4 linked regions of the Arabidopsis thaliana genome follow. The protein of the gene in region 1 interacts with the protein of each later gene in a pairwise test. Each region holds a gene or a part of one and is shown in the gene's direction. Other genes may lie near its edges.

The links.
Region 2: the proteins of AT1G34350 (region 1) and AOX1B interact in a protein complementation assay, tested with the Arabidopsis thaliana proteins (one large-scale study listed by BioGRID).
Region 3: the proteins of AT1G34350 (region 1) and AT1G64150 interact in a protein complementation assay, tested with the Arabidopsis thaliana proteins (one large-scale study listed by BioGRID).
Region 4: the proteins of AT1G34350 (region 1) and TET6 interact in a protein complementation assay, tested with the Arabidopsis thaliana proteins (one large-scale study listed by BioGRID).

What each region holds. Positions count from the first base shown.
Region 1 is NC_003070.9:12,532,579-12,536,650, forward strand, and holds AT1G34350 (Tmem18), read left to right. Parts: upstream 1-1,847; 5' UTR 1,848-2,006; coding exon 2,007-2,147; intron 2,148-2,322; coding exon 2,323-2,503; intron 2,504-2,817; coding exon 2,818-2,966; intron 2,967-3,253; coding exon 3,254-3,349; 3' UTR 3,350-3,517; downstream 3,518-4,072. Other genes in the region: AT1G34340 (alpha/beta-Hydrolases superfamily protein), read left to right, coding at 1-83, 202-250, 399-455, 613-743, 817-900, 978-1,044, 1,133-1,453; PS1 (forkhead-associated (FHA) domain-containing protein), read left to right, coding at 3,919-4,072.
Region 2 is NC_003074.8:7,902,080-7,906,167, forward strand, and holds AOX1B (alternative oxidase 1B), read left to right. Parts: upstream 1-2,017; 5' UTR 2,018-2,076; coding exon 2,077-2,376; intron 2,377-2,459; coding exon 2,460-2,588; intron 2,589-2,670; coding exon 2,671-3,159; intron 3,160-3,245; coding exon 3,246-3,305; 3' UTR 3,306-3,497; downstream 3,498-4,088. Other genes in the region: AT3G22350 (F-box and associated interaction domains-containing protein), read left to right, coding at 1-962.
Region 3 is NC_003070.9:23,808,254-23,814,330, reverse strand, and holds AT1G64150 (Uncharacterized protein family (UPF0016)), read left to right. Parts: upstream 1-1,605; 5' UTR 1,606-1,751; coding exon 1,752-1,921; intron 1,922-2,018; coding exon 2,019-2,103; intron 2,104-2,339; coding exon 2,340-2,567; intron 2,568-2,664; coding exon 2,665-2,718; intron 2,719-2,811; coding exon 2,812-2,873; intron 2,874-2,985; coding exon 2,986-3,054; intron 3,055-3,132; coding exon 3,133-3,184; intron 3,185-3,567; coding exon 3,568-3,639; intron 3,640-3,726; coding exon 3,727-3,856; intron 3,857-3,945; coding exon 3,946-4,016; intron 4,017-4,205; coding exon 4,206-4,253; intron 4,254-5,212; coding exon 5,213-5,284; 3' UTR 5,285-5,496; downstream 5,497-6,077. Other genes in the region: DIR5 (Disease resistance-responsive (dirigent-like protein) family protein), read right to left, coding at 1-268. UniProt on the Arabidopsis thaliana protein: Mn(2+)/H(+) exchanger, which transport Mn(2+)from the chloroplast stroma into the acidic thylakoid lumen. Might be a chloroplast-localized Ca(2+)/H(+) antiporter. Regulates Ca(2+), Mn(2+) and pH homeostasis. Required for chloroplast development.
Region 4 is NC_003074.8:3,851,612-3,855,687, reverse strand, and holds TET6 (tetraspanin6), read left to right. Parts: upstream 1-1,821; 5' UTR 1,822-1,973; coding exon 1,974-2,465; intron 2,466-2,845; coding exon 2,846-3,162; intron 3,163-3,322; coding exon 3,323-3,362; 3' UTR 3,363-3,563; downstream 3,564-4,076. Other genes in the region: AT3G12100 (Cation efflux family protein), read left to right, coding at 87-156, 287-325, 421-571, 660-749, 846-947; emb2738 (GTP-binding family protein), read right to left, coding at 3,708-3,772, 3,852-4,020. UniProt on the Arabidopsis thaliana protein: May be involved in the regulation of cell differentiation.

The sequences.
Region 1 (4,072 bases):
GGTGACAGGTTTATCTGTCGGACTTTGAAACAAAAGCTCTATGACAAAGCTCTCACCATCGGACTCCAAGGTTATGCCCAATTGTATGTCCACCAAGAACTGCCTAGATTTTGAGTTTGTAAGATGGGCTGAGAGGAGATATTTCCGTTTTACTGCTTTGAGAAGATCAGGTTTCAGTTATAACTTTTGGTTTCATTGCAGGCATGAACCTCAGTTTTTACGGCTTGCTAATTGGGAAGGCATCAAAAAGGTTAGTAGGTTAATTAACCACAGGCCCATAAGTTATACAGTCTACTTGGTAGATGCATTGAAACAAGCAGAGTTCTTAAGCAAATAACTTACATATTTCTTTCCCTATCGACGTTGTCTGTTGTTGTCCGTTGTTTTTACTTCATCAGTCACGTTCCATCCGAGATTTTGACAACCATGCTACCTGTCTAGTTGGAAAATTCGAGGTATTAGTTCTCCTCCATATTATCTTAACTTCTGATGTTAGTTTTCCACCGCAATTGGCTTTGTAATTCATATATTCATCTTTGCAATGCTCTTCATAATCACCATTAAGTTCTCTGTTGATTTAATATAAGTACAACGGGTTGCACCTTTATGCAGACTGTGGATACGTATTACCGAAAATCGAGCAGCACTCAATACGTAGGAAATGTGGCGGTGCCACTACTCTGTATAAGTGCTCTAGATGATCCATTATGCACAAAGGAAGCTATTCCCTGGGACGAATGCAGGTAAGACGCTATCTATCTCTTTTTAAATCTTAAATCCTGTTACAGCGATTAACATGAAGTTTCTATTGAAAAGGGCCAACAAAAACATTGTCTTGGCTACAACAAATCACGGGGGACATCTAGCGTTCTTCGAAGGATTAACTGGATCTAGCTTATGGTTGGTATATTTCAGATTGTAACTAAGTAATAATAGTACTTCCTATTTTGACTGCCTATATATGTTGTTGTGTATAGGTGGGTTCGAGCCACCAACGAGTTTCTTGGCGTCCTTAGCTGCAGTCCTTATATGCATATACAGAAAGTAAGTTTCCGTTTATTAGAATTGCAGTTTAGATAATTTAACTCTTCTCTCTATTTCTTTCTTCCTAAGATTATCAATTTTTTTGCAGATTGTAGATAAAAGAAGCTCAGGGTCAGGGAAACAAGAGCCATCGATAAACCAAGGCCCGTACCTAAACATTGCAGAAGACGGGTTGGTGGCAGCAGTCAAATATGAGCAAGACACCAATAAGACCACACTGAAGCAGAGAGGGCGAAAGCCTGAGGAAGATGTAACAAAGAAAAGCTTTAAAGAGCTGTGTAGGCAGACAAAACAGTCGGTATGGTGGCTTGGTTACATAGGCATGGTTACAAGTTTCCCTTTACTTGGGATGCTCCTAAACTACATCTTCCGTAAGAAGCAACGACCCACAACAACATCCACATCCTGAAGTTGCTTTCTTTCTCAACATCTCCATTCACTCATTCTTCTATCTGTTAACCTATTATCGATTATTGAGAATGTTAATAATCATCTAATTTTTTTTTATCATAAGCATAGTAATTATGTAGAGTTTTCATGAAGGAAAGGAGTGGAATCGCTCAAACTCATTTTTTGTCTTATTATTTCGGAGAATCCTTTCATTAAAACTGACTTCGATCGAAGATCAAATCATTTGGTTTGAGTATAAGTTTAGATGTTCCTGGAAAATCATATTACTCTGAATAATCCAAAATATTAGTATGTTATCTCAGTGGCATTACCGTTAAAATATGAAACTATAAGGGTATTCTGGGAAGTTGGTGATTACATTTTTTTCTTTTCCTGGCAACTTCGAGAGCTTTTAAGCGCAGAAGAAACTCGTTAAAAATCTTGGCGAGAAAAGTTGAGAACTGGAATCGAAGAAGCGATAGGGTTTTGGTTACTTGGAGTGTGAGTATTTTAGTTACCACCGCTTGCAATTTCAAATTGGTTTCTTTTTTCCGGTGACATTTAGTAAGACAATGGAAGAAATAAGATCGGCGATGGAGAAGCAAGTGGATCTCGTAGCGGATCTGGTTGAGAAACTCTCCGGAGAGCTCCGAACGGGGTTTCAACCTGCTTACGATAATTTCTTGGGGTTTTTCCACGCCATTGATTGGAAGGTAATGAGAATCTTTCTTCGTATTGCATCATTTGGTCTTGAGGAATTTAGAATCACAAGTCTAGATAAATTCTCGGTATTTGTAGAATTTCATTTGAATTCTGTGAGAATTTGAGATTCCATAAACTATACTCATATACATTGGTTTTTTCTCATCTGGCATTTTTTGGTTACAGGAACCTTGGATTATGGGTTTAATGGCGTTTCATGCTTTGTTGTTACTAGTGACTCTTCTTTCTAGAAGGCATCTCAACTTCCATATGTTCCTCTTCTTATTGGCTTGTAAGTTCCCTTTGAAACTGTCTATATATATATTGTACAAGAAATCTCTTCGATCTAATGATCTCACTAGTCTAGGTTGTGGCATTCATAGTGGATCAAGTGTTTGAGAAGCTAGTACTGACATGTTTTACTTCACTCTAGCTTATGATTGAATGCACTAGGCTTTGTTTTCTTTGTTTAGTACAATAGGATTATCGGATCATCGATGTTTGGTAAAACGAAAATATGATATTCATTTGTCTACTCAATAGCTGTGTTAGTTTAGATTATGAACTTAGTGATTGGCATATTTCTTTGCGATATTTTGTGAGTCGTCACTGCATCAATTAGAGTTTTTTCTTTTCTTAGTACACGTTATTGAGACTGATGATGTGACAAAAAATTTGCAGTGGCTGGGGTATACTTTGCAGAGAATCTCAACCGGGAGTTGAGGAAAAACTGGAAGAGCTTCTCAACTCAAAACTACTTTGACTCGAACGGAGTCTTCCTATCGACTCTCTGGTCTGGACCACTTTTGGTCATTGCAATGATAATCCTGGTAATGTGTTCAGCAATCTTTCCCTTTCTTCTCTGCATTAATATATTAGAATCTACTTGCTAGCTCTTAATAAATTGTTCCCAAGTAAAACATACTTTGATTGAGCAGTCATATTAACTGAGAAATCGAGGATATGTTTCGTGTTTGATTTGGTTTTAACTCTTAAGAGTATTTGTAGTCCTTAACTCAAACCATAGTACCATACTGATCCATGTCTTGTTTAGGATTTTAACGAACTATGTGTAGTGAATGTGGAAAATCTGATGGAGGTGTTGTGTTTTTGACAGATAAACACACTCTTTTCGCTTTGCTACTTAATCGTAAAGTGGAAAAGAGCTGAGCTCAGGCATCGCGCAAGGCTTGCTCATACCAAGGAGGAATGATCCCACTTTTTTTAATCTCACATTTATGTATACTCTCACACAATGCATCAAAACTGTTTTGAGTTTTTTAGTAGAAGCTGCTCTTTTATGTATTTCGTTTTCAATTGAATCGAATTGTATCAAACCGAACCAAACCAAATTATTCTACTTCGGTCTGTTATGGTTAAAGTTTTGAAACCCCGAATTGAATGATTTGGCATCAATTTCTAGGCATGAAAAAATTGTAGAAAAGCACATACATAAATAATCGATGACCATGTCCATACCAAACAAAAAATGAAATGAAAAATTCATGTGTTTAGTGTTTAACCGACCTAAATTTGAATTAATTAAGGGTTTAATTTGGTTATTAAAATTTGAAATTGTCGTAATAAGAGATGATGCCACAATTAGCCGTTACGAGTAAATAGAGAGAGAGAGGTCGTCGGATTCAACAACGGACTCTTTTTCAAAATCAGAAGGAGATAGAGAGAGAAAGAGAGAAACACTCTCTAAATCTTCTTCTTCTTCATCTCTTTCGTTTTCCATTTTCGAAAATCTCTCAATCGTTCGTTCTTACAGACTTATTCATGGAGGTCAAGGAAGAGAAACTGATGGAGGAGAAGCAACGATTGCCGGAGAAGACGATCCCTGTGTTCACCGTTCTGAAAAACGGCGCTATTCTCAAGAATATCTTCGTTGTGAACAGTCGCGATTTCTCGTCGCCGGAGAGAAACGGTTCCA
Region 2 (4,088 bases), on another chromosome or scaffold:
AGTACAGAGTTTGCTCAATGAATATCAATCTCAATGTTTCTCCTCCATCTGTAGAGTTTCAAGGTACACTTGGCATAAAAGATGATTCCCATTCTAATTTAGGACAAGTCGAGATAGTCGAAGTTTATCACTGTGATGGTTTGTTGTTATGCGCCACCAGGGACAATAGACTCGTGGTTTGGAATCCGTGTTTGGGGGAAACCAGGTGGATCCAACTCAAAGATGAATGCAGGAGATACTCTACGTTTGCTCTAGGATACGAAAACAACAAATTTTGTCGTCGTAACTACAAAATCTTGAGGTATTGGGGTTGGTTTCACGATCACATACCAGACGACGGCGGACGTTTCAGGTTTGAAATATATGACTTTAGATCTGATTCATGGAAGGTTCTTGATGACGTCCCTGATGACCGCTTCCCACCAGTAAGTGTCGTGTCTTTAAAGGGAAACACTTACTGGTTTGGTTCTAATAAAAAGGACTTCTTACGTAGTTTTGATTTTACAACAGAGAGATTTAATCATATTGGTCTTCCGCCATCTCGAGATCATGGTTTTATGGCTCTATCAGTTGTTGGAGAAGAACAACTCTCAGTGTTACAAGAGATTGAGACATCAAAGATGGAGATATTTGTAACCAATAAAGTTGGTACTGAAGAAGCTGCTTTGTTGTGGAGCAAATCCTTTATAGTGGATTTACCCATTGGCGGTCATTGTTCTGAGGTTTTCGCGAGTCTTTTAATCAACGAGGAGAAGAAAGTGGCCTTGTGTTGTAATTTAGATTTCGAGACCGACGGGAACTTGATATTCACTATTGGAGAAGACAATAAATATTACTCAGAAATCCCTTATGCTACAAACAAGCCATGGTGGTTATGTAGATTTTCTGAAAAATTTACAAAAAAATGGTGGTGGTTTCCATTTATTTACAATTATGTTCCAAGTTTGGTTCAAATCTTGTAAGAGAGATAGAGAGTAAAAAAGAGAAGAAAAAAAACTAGTCGATAAAAATAAGATACACTAGTCCTCTCTCATTTGTTTTCCCTTTGGTTGAATAATTTAATGAAAGTTTTTTGGTAGTTTATTCTTTTTCTTCGTGTTGTATAGTTTATGATTCTTACCTTTGAGAGCCTGCTCTAGGCTGGATTTCAGAAACAAATGACAATCATCTTGTTATCACTCTGTCTGGAGAGGTTTCGATCATCGCTAGCGGAATCAAAAACCCGAGGATATCCTACTTCGACATCGTCAAGATGGATTCAAAATCATCAAATTGGGGGGAAAATCGATTTTATTGCGAACATTTTGGGTAAATTTTAGTAATGATCAGTTTCATAGATACACTGAGATTCGTCTATATTGTTTGAATGGTGGCGGCGGTCGGGATGGACAAATCCACTCAGCAGTTTAGTTTGCTCTATTTTTAGGATGGATAACAAACCGATGTAGATCAACTCTATTTGTATATATAAGCACAATTCTATGAATGGTAAATAACTACAGACACAATTTATGAATGGTAACTAAATATCGGTCAAGTCCATAAACGGATTTGTCCGCCTTAACCGCTGCAACCATTCAGACCCTATGGTTTGAAACAAGTAATTGCGTCCATGATATTCAAACCGAGAAGGTTGTCCAATGGTTTCAACAGTTTGCGACACAGTTATTGTTAGATACATCAAAGAAACTATAAGACACTACACAAATACGTCTCTGTTTTGGAACAGAGGATTTTTTTAACTTTTTAATTATATTAATCTAATTAATCAAAACATGAATTAAAACGGCTGACGAATATCACCAGCCAAGTCTATAGAAAAAAGATTATTACTACAAGCTTTTACTTAAAAAATGTCCACAGTTTTTGAGCATAAACTTGCGGATTAGTTTGTCTTTTCGTGTGCTACAAGTCTTTTAGTCAAATTAGACGAATTTTACGCTTTCTTGTATACATTGATCCTAGAGTTCCGTAATTGCTATAAATAGATGTCAGTTTAGGAGTTACCAAATGCAAAAAAACAAAAAAAAAACACTATCATTAATCAAGTTCCACTGTTCATTTTCGATCTGCATAATGATGATGAGTCGTCGCTATGGAGCCAAGCTAATGGAAACTGCTGTGACTCACAGCCATCTTTTGAATCCTAGGGTTCCTCTCGTGACGGAAAATATTAGGGTTCCGGCGATGGGAGTCGTGAGAGTTTTCAGCAAGATGACATTTGAGAAGAAGAAAACTACGGAGGAGAAAGGATCTAGCGGTGGCAAGGCTGATCAAGGTAACAAAGGGGAGCAATTAATCGTTAGCTACTGGGGAGTGAAGCCGATGAAGATCACCAAAGAAGATGGAACTGAATGGAAATGGAGTTGCTTTAGGGTACATTACATCTTTGGTATTATATTAGAACTCTGTGGTCGATTTATATGTATGATTTGAGTTTTTGTGTGGAATAACTGTAGCCATGGGAGACATATAAATCAGATCTGACTATAGATTTGAAGAAGCATCATGTTCCATCGACTTTACCGGACAAACTAGCTTATTGGACCGTGAAATCTCTTCGATGGCCTACCGATCTTTTCTTCCAGGTGACAGTCTTAGCTTTCTATGGTTTTGTCATTTCAAATGCTTTGTATGTTTGGACTAATCTTGCCAACGAGTTAACCGCAGAGGCGGTACGGATGCAGAGCAATGATGCTAGAAACGGTTGCAGCGGTTCCAGGAATGGTTGGAGGGATGTTAGTACACTGCAAATCGCTTCGACGGTTTGAACAAAGCGGTGGTTGGATCAAAGCCCTACTTGAAGAAGCAGAGAACGAGAGAATGCATTTAATGACATTCATGGAAGTCGCGAAACCTAATTGGTACGAACGAGCTCTTGTGATTGCCGTTCAAGGCATTTTCTTCAATGCTTATTTCCTTGGATACCTAATTTCTCCCAAATTTGCTCATCGTATGGTTGGATACCTTGAGGAAGAAGCAATCCACTCTTACACTGAGTTTCTTAAAGAACTCGATAATGGTAACATCGAAAATGTGCCTGCACCGGCTATTGCCATTGATTACTGGAGACTTGAAGCTGATGCGACGCTTCGTGATGTCGTCATGGTGGTCCGTGCTGATGAAGCGCATCACCGTGATGTTAACCACTATGCATCCGTAAGTAGTGTGAATTGTATTATAGGAAACTTACTTATGTTTAAAAGATGATTAGATTGTTTTCATGGTTTTAATAAAAATTGCAGGATATTCATTACCAAGGTCGTGAGCTAAAAGAAGCTCCAGCTCCCATTGGATATCATTGAATCTGAAGAGCTTCTAGCTTTGTTTTGTCGTTTTGATACGGTCCAGTTTTGTTTTCCTTGTTCCTAAATGGGCTTTAATGGGTATTTGTTAAAATTTAGTGGGCCTTAGAGTAAGCTTATTTGTGCTTGCTTTCTTTTTGCTTCATAAAAGAGTGTTTTGTTTGTTTTCATTCTCCTAATAAATCAGTGCTTACATGATATGTTTACATATACACTTAGGCTAGAAATAAAACTTTACAAACCCAAGGCTTTGAAGTTTGAATATAACCATAGATATGTCCATTAAACCCCACTAAAATGAAGTAGGCTTGAATCCATCATATATAAATGTTAAATTAATAGGGGTGGGAAAAAAAACGAAAACCGAAAAACCGAACCGTACCAAACCAAAACAAATGGTTTGGTTTGGTTATGGTTTTGTATAAAAACCCATTTGATTGTAATTTTTATTTAAGTTTTGGTTTAGGTTTGGTTTGATTAAAAACCGTAAAACCGAACGTTTTTTTTGTTTTTGATTTAAATTAAAAATAATTGTATATATATATATATAATGTTCATTTGATAACATGATATCTATCAAACTATCGAAAAACAAAACCCTAACTGTAACCTAAACTAAAATTCTATATAAATTACATGCCGTCATTTAGGATTTGAGTTTACAAATTAGATTTTGATTTTATTTATGCATCACACTTATAATTTTTTTTGGTAAAAACATGAAAAAACCGGAACCAAACCGGAACCGATCCGAACCAAAATACATATGGTTTTTAAATGGTT
Region 3 (6,077 bases), about 11 Mb from region 1:
CGGACTGAAAGTTTTTGTCTATGGTCATAGGATCGTCGAAGATAACGAGTTTCCCGAATTTGAAATTCCCGAGGCCCGGTGGGTTGGTAACTGCTGCAGAAGTCGCGTTTTGCACGTCGTCGACACCGAACATTATGTCGTGGTAGTAGAGGACAAAGTTTTTGCACGGTTTTGGTTGCGATTTGGATGGTTTTCTAGCTGATATGACGGTTTTTGTTAGAACAAGGAAAACGAATAAGAAGAGAAACGATTTCATTTGGCCTACCATATTGAAAATATGTGTGTTTTAAATGAAAATGTGAGAGTGGATAATGAGAGAGTGAGATTGACAAAGAAGGAGTGATGGGTTTATATACAACTTGGGTTACTAGTCCGTGTTAATATTAAGTATAAACAAAGTGGACTAGCTCACTTCTTCTCTCTTGTTTCTTGTTTATATATTTATTTATATTAGGTTGGTGATAAGTTTTGTTGATGTGTATAAAGTGAGATCATTTACCATGAATATCTGAAAGTTTTCCATGTAGGCGGCTCAATCACCTTTCAAAACTTTCCACAAAATGTTATAGTAGTGGAGAAATCGTTAAAAATAACACGAATGAAGTACTAAAACAAATTAGTATATATAATACATATTTGATTTAAGACTACATAAGCTTAAAGCTTGTACATACCTTAAGCTGGAGTTGCACGAATTCATCAATAATATCTAAAACAGCACAAATTCAAAAGCAGAAGAGATATTAAATCGGTTAAATATGCAATTCATGGCTTTAAATCATATATATTGAATCAATGAATAATCTACTTGTTCGTCTAAATTTAGGACATTAATAATATATATATGTATAGTCTTTCAGAACTACTAATATATGTAATTTGGCCTTTTAATGATGGGTTGGTGGAGCACTAATAATAAAAACTAAAGAGCATGAGGAGTTTTTCCAATAACTTATAATTTTACATGAATTTATGTCAAACTGCCACTGACCATTAGCATGATGCTAAAAAGTATCGTTATAGATTTTATTTTATTTTATTATATATAAATCATATCATTTTTTTCTATAACTAAAAGTAGAGTCATCTATTTTATTGGTAAAAGTCACGTTGAAAATTTTAATTTTAGTTTGTTAAGTACCCTATGGCTAATATAATTTGCATACCAAACATGTTTTTTTCTTAATGATAATCTAGTCCATTTGTAAAAGTAACCGTTTTATCATCAATTTTTTTTTAATTAAGCTAAGCTTTCGCCGACTTAATAGAACATTGGCATTCGGCAGCCAATAAAGCAAATCAAGTTGCAGAATTTCAAATGTGACATAACTATTCACATTTTAAAAAATAATATCGTGAAACAAAAGAAAAGCAGAACAATAGTAAACAAAAAGACAAATTGTTGAATGTTGACAAACTGTGAAGATGATAACAAACGAAGGAAAAGAAAAATACTAAAATAGTTTGTCCTAAAAAGCCTTATCTGCGAAGGCATTTTAACGAAAACGGGCCTATTGTTGGCCCAATATGATATATAGGCTCGAAACTCGTCACGTGTATTCAACAGTTGCTTGAGTTTTTCCCACACGTGCGCTGTTACTACGTGGACGCGCGCGAATAACTCTAGTTTTGTGGATTTTTTTCACTATCTTCTCAGAACAACACAGAGCCAAAGGTTTTTTGCTCGCAGTAAAGAAGAATCACACTGTGAAGAAGAAGAAGAAGCGAAATACAAAATCCTCAGGAAAGAAATGCTAAGTTTGAATCTCTCGGAGTCGCTTCGCATTCCATTCCAGAACCCTAGGCCTCCCAAATCCGATTTTTCTTCTACTTCTTCTTCTCCTTCCTCATCGTCGAGGAGATGCGTCTCCGCTTATCCAATTCCGATCGGGTTTTCGGTTCGTAATCAATACTTTTCTAGGTAAATTTGATAATTGATTGTTCATCGGCTTTTGAATTTGCTATGCGAATGGAATGTAGCCATGTAGGAGTTTACGTCTTTTCACAATTCTGTGCAGATGTTTGACTCAATTGCGTCGAAATGAATCTCAGCAGCTAGGTTTTCGATGCTTCCAACGAAACGATGCGGCTTGTTACCTCGAGGTGATTCTGATTTTTGTTACCTTCCACCAATCTTCTTTTGGTAGATTTTTGAATTTTTTTAGATGAGATTCTGTTAAGGCCTAGAGGAGATTTCTGAATTGCTTGTTCTGTGTGGATTTACCTAAAATGGTAATGTAGGTTTATTATAATGATGATTGATTTTAAGGTTGAACAATAGTGGAGAGAATGTGTTTAAATGCATAAGCTGAATAAGTTGTTGTGTTTGCTTTGTTCAGAAAGCTGAGTCTGAAGAGCATGATAGAAATCTTGATGTTCTGGTTGAGTCATCGATAGCTCACTCAAGAAGAGAGATTCAGAGAGTTCTTATGTTCTTGGCGGTATCAGGTTCGGTTGCATTACTAGGCACTGATCCAGCTTTTGCAGCTTCGTCAATTCCCAATGTGACACAGTCACTTGTCACTTCTTTTGGAGACCTTGGAGATATTAGCTCAGGTTTTGCTTCGGTTAGAGAATCTTCCTTTTGCACAGAACCGGGAACTATCTCTTCTTCAATTCCAGTACTCTTAAATTTTATTTTTTGCTCTGTCTATGTCTGTGTAGGCTTTCTTGCTTATCTTTTTCTCTGAACTTGGAGACAAGACTTTCTTCATTGCGGTATGATCTTGAGATGTTAATCTACGCTTTAGAAACTCTCTTTGTCATCAATGATTCTGTTGATTGTGATAAGTTTTCATGTTTGTTGGTTAGGCCCTTTTAGCAGCAAGGAACTCTGCTGCTACCGTATTCGTGGGGACTTTTGGCGCTCTAGGGTATGCTTTCTTTCTCAAACAGAGGCGTTATTATGGTCCGTGAATCTTGTCTGAAACCAAATGTTACTTTGAAATCTGTAGAGCAACGTTATAAAACTTGGTAATTTTGCAGGATAATGACGATAATATCTGTAGTGCTTGGACGCACTTTCCACTATGTCGATGAAGTTCTTCCATTCAGGTTTGAGTATTCTGGCAAAAATTATTAAGCAGGTTTAAGTTCCATGATGATGCTGAACGTCAATGCTTGAGAACACAGGTTTGGTGGAACCGATTTGCCTATAGATGATATTGCAGCAGTTTGTCTTCTGGTAAATCTCTTTATTCACCTTTCTTAGCAGAGTCGTACTAACCACGGGTGCTTGGTTTGGACCTTTCTTATGTCTAGCAAGTATATCTTCCTAAGTATATGATGTCTACCAAGTGAAACCAAATGTAGCTGTAACCCTTTTGTTATGAGTTTTGTTTTGGTTTTGGTTCAGTTTTCGATTCGAAGGGTCTTAAAATTGTCATGAAGTTTATAAGTTTCAGGCTCTATTGGGTTTGGATTTTTATGTAGAAAAAGTTACTGGTCTAACAATGAAGATGTTGATTGGTTTTCAAGCCTGGTTTATGGTTCATTTTGGGTTGGATCATATTGTACAGAGCATAGTCTTAACCATGAAACAGTATTAACCACTTTTGTTACATTTAGGTGTACTTCGGTGTTTCAACGTTATTAGATGCTGTTTCAGACGAGGGTAAAGCTGACGAAGAACAGAAAGAAGTAAAACCTCTTTAGCCTTTCGTTCACTCTTTGTATATTTCCATGCAACCTTCAAGAAGTCAATATTTATTTACTTATTATCTACAGGCAGAACTAGCGGTTTCAGAGCTTTCAGGTAATGGAGCCGGGATAGTAGCAGCCGCGAACACCATCATCAGCACTTTCGCATTGGTTTTTGTTGCGGAATGGGGTGACAAATCCTTCTTCTCAACAATTGGTGAGACTCAAAAAGTTCAAATTTCATGATAAATCAAAACCTCAGGTCCAAAACTCCAAAAGTGTATATAATCTTCTAATTCTTTGAAGCTCTTGCGGCTGCATCATCACCATTGGGTGTCATCGCTGGAGCGTTGGCGGGTCACGGTGCTGCGACTCTTGTGAGTTCTTTATCTTTTGATTGAAACTTCTATGTGAACACTTTAAAGATCCTAGCTATTTGGGCTAGTCAAAAGTATCTTTAAGTACTATTAAGACTTAAAACCCCATCAAAGAAAAGATTTTTTCAATTCTCCTGAAACTTGGAAGACACAAGAACTCTAACTTGCAGCTTGGTTTGTTAATCGCAGCTTGCAGTATTGGGCGGTTCTTTGCTAGGAAATTTCTTATCAGAGAAGGTAACTAATTCCGTTCTTTATCTATCTCTATATACATACACATAGACAGTATATACATGTTTATACTTTATATAGATCAAATCAATTTTAGAAAATCATTATTTCACAAAAGCACTTGAAGAATACTCCTTTTTCATTTATAGTGTCAGGTTTAGATTTTTGTTACATGTCTTAACCTGCATCCTGACCAAGTAAAAGGTTAAGAAGAATAAAACTTTAATGGTTGCATTAAAAAAGTAGAAAACAATTAATGAAATATGAAACAAATCCATGTCCTTAGATTATCATGAAAATTTAGGGTGAATATACTAAATGCCAGCATATCCTAGGATATATTCAGCTTTTATTACACAAAAACGAGATACTAATGGCAAATTACTAGCTTTAATCATGGTTTTAAAAGTTCCAAACCACCTTTTTGAGTTTTGTTTTAGTTAGTCAAAGGATATAATTTTTAATCTCGTATTGTGTTCTGAGATTTAACATGATAGAAAGAAAAGTGAGAGATTAAGGTTTTTATTCTTTGGGCAAGTGGCAAAAACAAGCTTCTATGTTCATTGATCTCAAGTCTTCCACATCACTTGGTATCTATTCCTCCCCAAAAAAGAGTCAAAATAACATCTTTTATTGTTTTTATTCTTTCCTATGTCCGATCCAATCTGTCAACAACGCGTTATTATTCCCAAACTAATGAAACTAGCCGCGGAAATAAAAATTAAATCACAAGTATATACTATAATTTTCTTTAGGTTTTAAGGTTCATGATTTATGTTTTATGGTTTAAGGCTTAGATTTTAGCTTTTATGACTTGATAGTAGGCTTACAATTTAATTTATAAAGATTTAAGACCATTTTTTTTATTGTTTTGATCTAAAGTTTAGACTATTTAAAAAACAATTTTGGGAGAGAGAGTGTGTTCTAAAGACGGAAATGTTTACATGTCGTTTGGTTCGAAACAGGCAATTGCTTATGTCGGAGGAGTTCTGTTTCTCGTGTTTGCTGCTGTGACGGTGGCTGAGATCGTTACGTAAGTACCGAAAAATATATTTTTTCTATACCTTCTTGTACAAACATATTCAAGTTTAATTTTATTTTTGTAAAATATTAGTATATTGTTTATTTTCAACTGTTTTTCTGCAAATTATAATGTGGATTTTACAGTTCTCATACGTTAACGTTTACTACCACATTTGGTTTTTAGTGGTTAGAATTTACTTAGATGTCAAGATAGGTAATATGTTATGTTTTGAAAGATGCGTCCAAACATAACACGTGTTCGGGACTGGAAAGAATATAAAGACTAAAAAGAGGTTGAACATGGTAGAGCATATTCTTTTCTATATTCTTCATGTACAAATGTGTATTTAAATACTATAATCGTGCATGTGAATTAAAATTATATGAAAAAGTTATAAATTTATGAGTTCCACTCACAAAGGCCAAAGGAGTTGTTACACCGACATGAGAAATAGGAAGATAATACCATCTCCTTTCTTTTATAGTAAGGTGTAAATTGTTTTGGTATTTTTTTTTTAAATGGTTTTAGTTTCAATATTAAGCAAGGGCCAAGGTGATTTTTCTTTTTTAAAAAGGATTACAGAAGTAAAGCTATATATTGTGCAAAATAAGCATGCACTGATGCACCTACATAAATAGTAGTTTGGATATATTGTAAAAATAACTTTAAAAATCATTGGTTTTGAAAAGGCATATTTCAAAGTTTCTGAAGACACAAATTTTTTAAAATTAATTGACCGAAATATCTTGCTTAATAATACCTTTTCTACACAATGACTACACCTATATAATATTGGAGCATTTTTT
Region 4 (4,076 bases), on another chromosome or scaffold:
AATTATCTGTCCCTTCTTTACATATCTAAAAACCACATGTTATCTTGAATTTTTTTCTTATATTCATAATATGCAATATGCTGCAGCCTACAGAAAAGCAGAAGATATGAATTATCACTCCGTTTGCTTGCACGTCATATCAGATTCCATCCGCAGGTGTTAATCCTCTCTGCCTTTATAAATTTCAAGCAGAATCGGAGAAAGCTATATAGAAAAGAAAATGCTTCCTTTTGCATCAAACTTATATACAGTCAACATGAAGTTTTCTTTGCTGCTGTCTTTTCAGTGCAGGTTTGATACTGGCATCTTGGCTCCTCTCGCTCGGGTAATACTCGCTTTCTTTGAAGGAGCTAAATGAATAAAAGTGTCTTCTTGCTTGACTACATTTTCCTTTTGCTCCTTATGCCTTGGCTTTTTCAGGGTTGAAAATGCAGAGGTCCTATGTTTAGGATTGGTATCGGTCACAGTGTTTATGCTTGTTATGCCACTCTTCAAAGCCACTGGTGGTGTCTTGCTTCAGATGGCACCCCCAAACATTCCTTCTTCTGCTTTAAGCAAATGCTTGCGACAGGTTCGCTCATAAATCGTTCCTCGAATGTGTACATATTTCCCATTGTTGATCAAACCAGGCTTCTCTTCAGCTCTCTCTCTCTGTACAGATTACTTCTCGAGAAGATGTAACGGAGGTTTTACAGGCACGTTTCTGGGAGGTTGTGCCTGGTCACACTGTTGGCTCACTCAGACTCCAGGTACTCACTTTTCTCCTTTTTTTTATATCGGTTAAAACATGAGCTCACACTAGAAATGGAAATGACTGGGTTTGTTATTTTGTTTATCGGCGTTAGGTGAAGAGCGGAATAGATGAAAGACCATTACTGCAATATGTATATGATGTATACCATGATTTGGGTGTACAAGACTTGACCCTGCAAACTGATTACACCTAAGCTGCATCTGCCTCTTCTTTGTTTTTAAATGCTGATTTGAAGATTTTTGGATGTATACTAGAGATCATGGTTCTTTAGGAATATAAATATTGTGAATTTTCAAGTTGTGACTTTGTGATATTGTTTTGTTTGTTTTTCATTTATGTGAATTTTCAACCACACAAAGACCACAAACCTTTGTATCTTCAAGCTTGTGGATATTTTGGCTCATAATGATTGGCGAATTAAAACATATATCATTTGCTAAATGTGAAAGTAAACACACAAAAATTCAATATGAGCTGAGACAAGATTTTAGCATTCCTTCTCGTTTATTTATACGATAAAAAAGGAAGTGGGGGAATCGGAGATCACATCAAGCTATATCTTAAAAACCTAATATTCCGAGGAATGGGCCACTAAAAGCATCTTAGAAAGAAAATTCATCGATTACGAAATCATCTCCCGTCCATGTCTATATATTATTCTTTGCTTACTCCTATGCTTCATTGAACATAGCACATTTATTTTATTCCACTTGTGATCATCCATTATATAAACCATGATTGCAGTTTTTGGACTAAAAGCTAGAAAAAGTTGTATTCTTTATGGTGTAATGTCTTAAGAACATATTTTAATGAAGGCACTACTTGATTTCTCTTGGTTGTGGTCTGCTCTGTACCAACTCCAACGACAAAAACGTATAATATAGAATAATAAACAAGAAACAATTGTTCAAAAAGACACTTTTATTTGAAAATTATACGGTTTTAATGTTATTGTTTAATTGATTCAACTCAAGAGAGAGAGGACCAAAAGAATATGATCATGAATCATCAAACCATTAACTCTTAACCTTTCCCCTTAAAAAATTCCCAATTGATAAGAGAGAATCAAAAGCCAAAAGTAGAGTTAACCAATATTATATCTAGAAAAAGAAGATTGTAAGATAAAGCTGATGAAATTCACATTGCAAGAAGAGAATCTGCTTACAAAAGAAAGAAGGCAGTGTTAAGTCTCTGATTTCTTCTTGATAACATTACTACTATGTACAGATTCAGCAACACAGTTATTGGGGTCTTAAACCTTCTCACCTTACTAGCCTCGATTCCAATCATCGGAACCGCTTTATACAAGGCAAGAAGCAGCACGACATGTGAAAACTTCCTCCAGACGCCGCTACTTGTTATAGGATTCATCATACTCATAGTTTCCCTTGCGGGATTCATAGGAGCCTGCTTCAACGTGGCATGGGCTCTTTGGGTGTACTTAGTGGTCATGATCTTCCTCATCGCTACCCTAATGGGTCTAACGCTATTTGGTCTGGTGGTGACGAGCCAAGGAGGTGGAGTGGAAGTGCCAGGGAGGATTTATAAAGAGTATAGGCTTGGAGACTATCATCCATGGTTGAGAGAGAGAGTTAGGGATCCTGAGTATTGGAACTCCATTAGAAGCTGTATCTTGAGTTCCAAGACTTGTACTAAGATTGAGTCTTGGACTACACTTGATTATTTCCAAAGAGACATGACTTCTGTTCAGGTACAATCTACTTTATGACATGATTCATGCTTGCTTAACAAATTGCTATAGTAATCTAATATATATCTTATCATATGATAATTTAAGCCTTTGATTTTATTTGTTTCTTCGTTTCTAATCGCGTGTAAAGCAAGCATGTGACTAGAAATGAAAAAGGCAAACGAATTTTTTCTTTCCGTGTGTGTTTTGTTGAATCGTATTTGTATTCTTACTTGCAAACAAAATGATAGTGTGACCTTACCAGTTTTTTGCTGTAAACATATAGTTTTCTCTTTTTACTTAGTTTGTGTTTGGCGTTTGCATTTAGACAAAAATATAGTATTATTGGGGAAGAAAAGGCTTGTTAAGAGTTAAGACGTGACTAATAAAAGACAATGCAGTCGGGATGTTGTAAGCCACCGACGGCGTGTACGTACGAAGCTGGAGTAGTGGACGGAGGAGGAGATTGCTTCAGATGGAACAATGGAGTGGAGATGTTATGCTACGAGTGCGATGCTTGCAAGGCTGGTGTTCTCGAAGAGATCCGTCTCGACTGGAGAAAGTTATCGGTTGTCAACATTCTCGTCCTCGTCCTCCTCATCGCGGTCTACGCCGCTGGTTGCTGCGCCTTCCACAACACTCGCCACGCAGCTCATCCTTACCATCCATCTGATGATAACCGCATGACCAGAGTCCGTCCTCGTTGGGACTATTACTGGTAACCTTATCTCTCTCTCTCTCTCTCTCTATATATATATATATATATCACTTACCAAATGCATGATCGTAAAATGAAAGTTTTGTTTCAAAATTATACTTGATCCGAATTGAGATCTTGGATTTTTTTATTTTTTGACAAAAGCATGTTCTTATTACAGGTGGAGATGGTGGCACGAAAAGAAAGAGCAGCTTTACTAAAAGCCGCATCGTTTTTTTGTTCTTAATCATTTTCTTTTTAGCAAACTTAGATTAAGAAAACACAAAGATAGTTTAAAAATGTTGATGTAGTCCTGTTCCTATAAATCATCAAGAGATTAGTAAGATTTGCTACGAGTGCATGAGTATATGCATATATTTTTCGTCTCACTTGTGAAATATACTCTATGGAAGACTTATTAGAGTTTACTATTCCTGCAATTTCACTTCAAAGCTCAAAACGAAAAACAAACAGAGTAGGTTGCAATGGAGACTAGCTAGGATTGAATTGTATATATATATTGATAGTAATTATTTTTCAATACAACAAAATTACATCGTCGGTTATTATGTTCTTTTGGTTGCAAGATTTCTCTGACGTGTAAGGCCTGCCATTCTCATTGTTCCTCCACCTGCAGAATTTTCCAAAAGTTATACAGATACTGTCACTATTTTCAAAAAGAATTACAACTTCATGCAAAAAACTCGTACCTCCTCCATTTTTGTCAGATCTTTTACGGCTACGCCAAAGAAGCCGAATTGGAGTCCCAGCAAAGCCTGCATCAGTGCGTAGCTGTTTCTCCATATACCTTCTGTACGTATCCGAAAACAGCTTTGCGTCGTTTACAAAGAAAACAAACGTCGGTGGCCTTATTGCTGCCTGCATTATACAACCATTTTATATACAGACAAACAAACCCGAAAAGCCTCTAATGC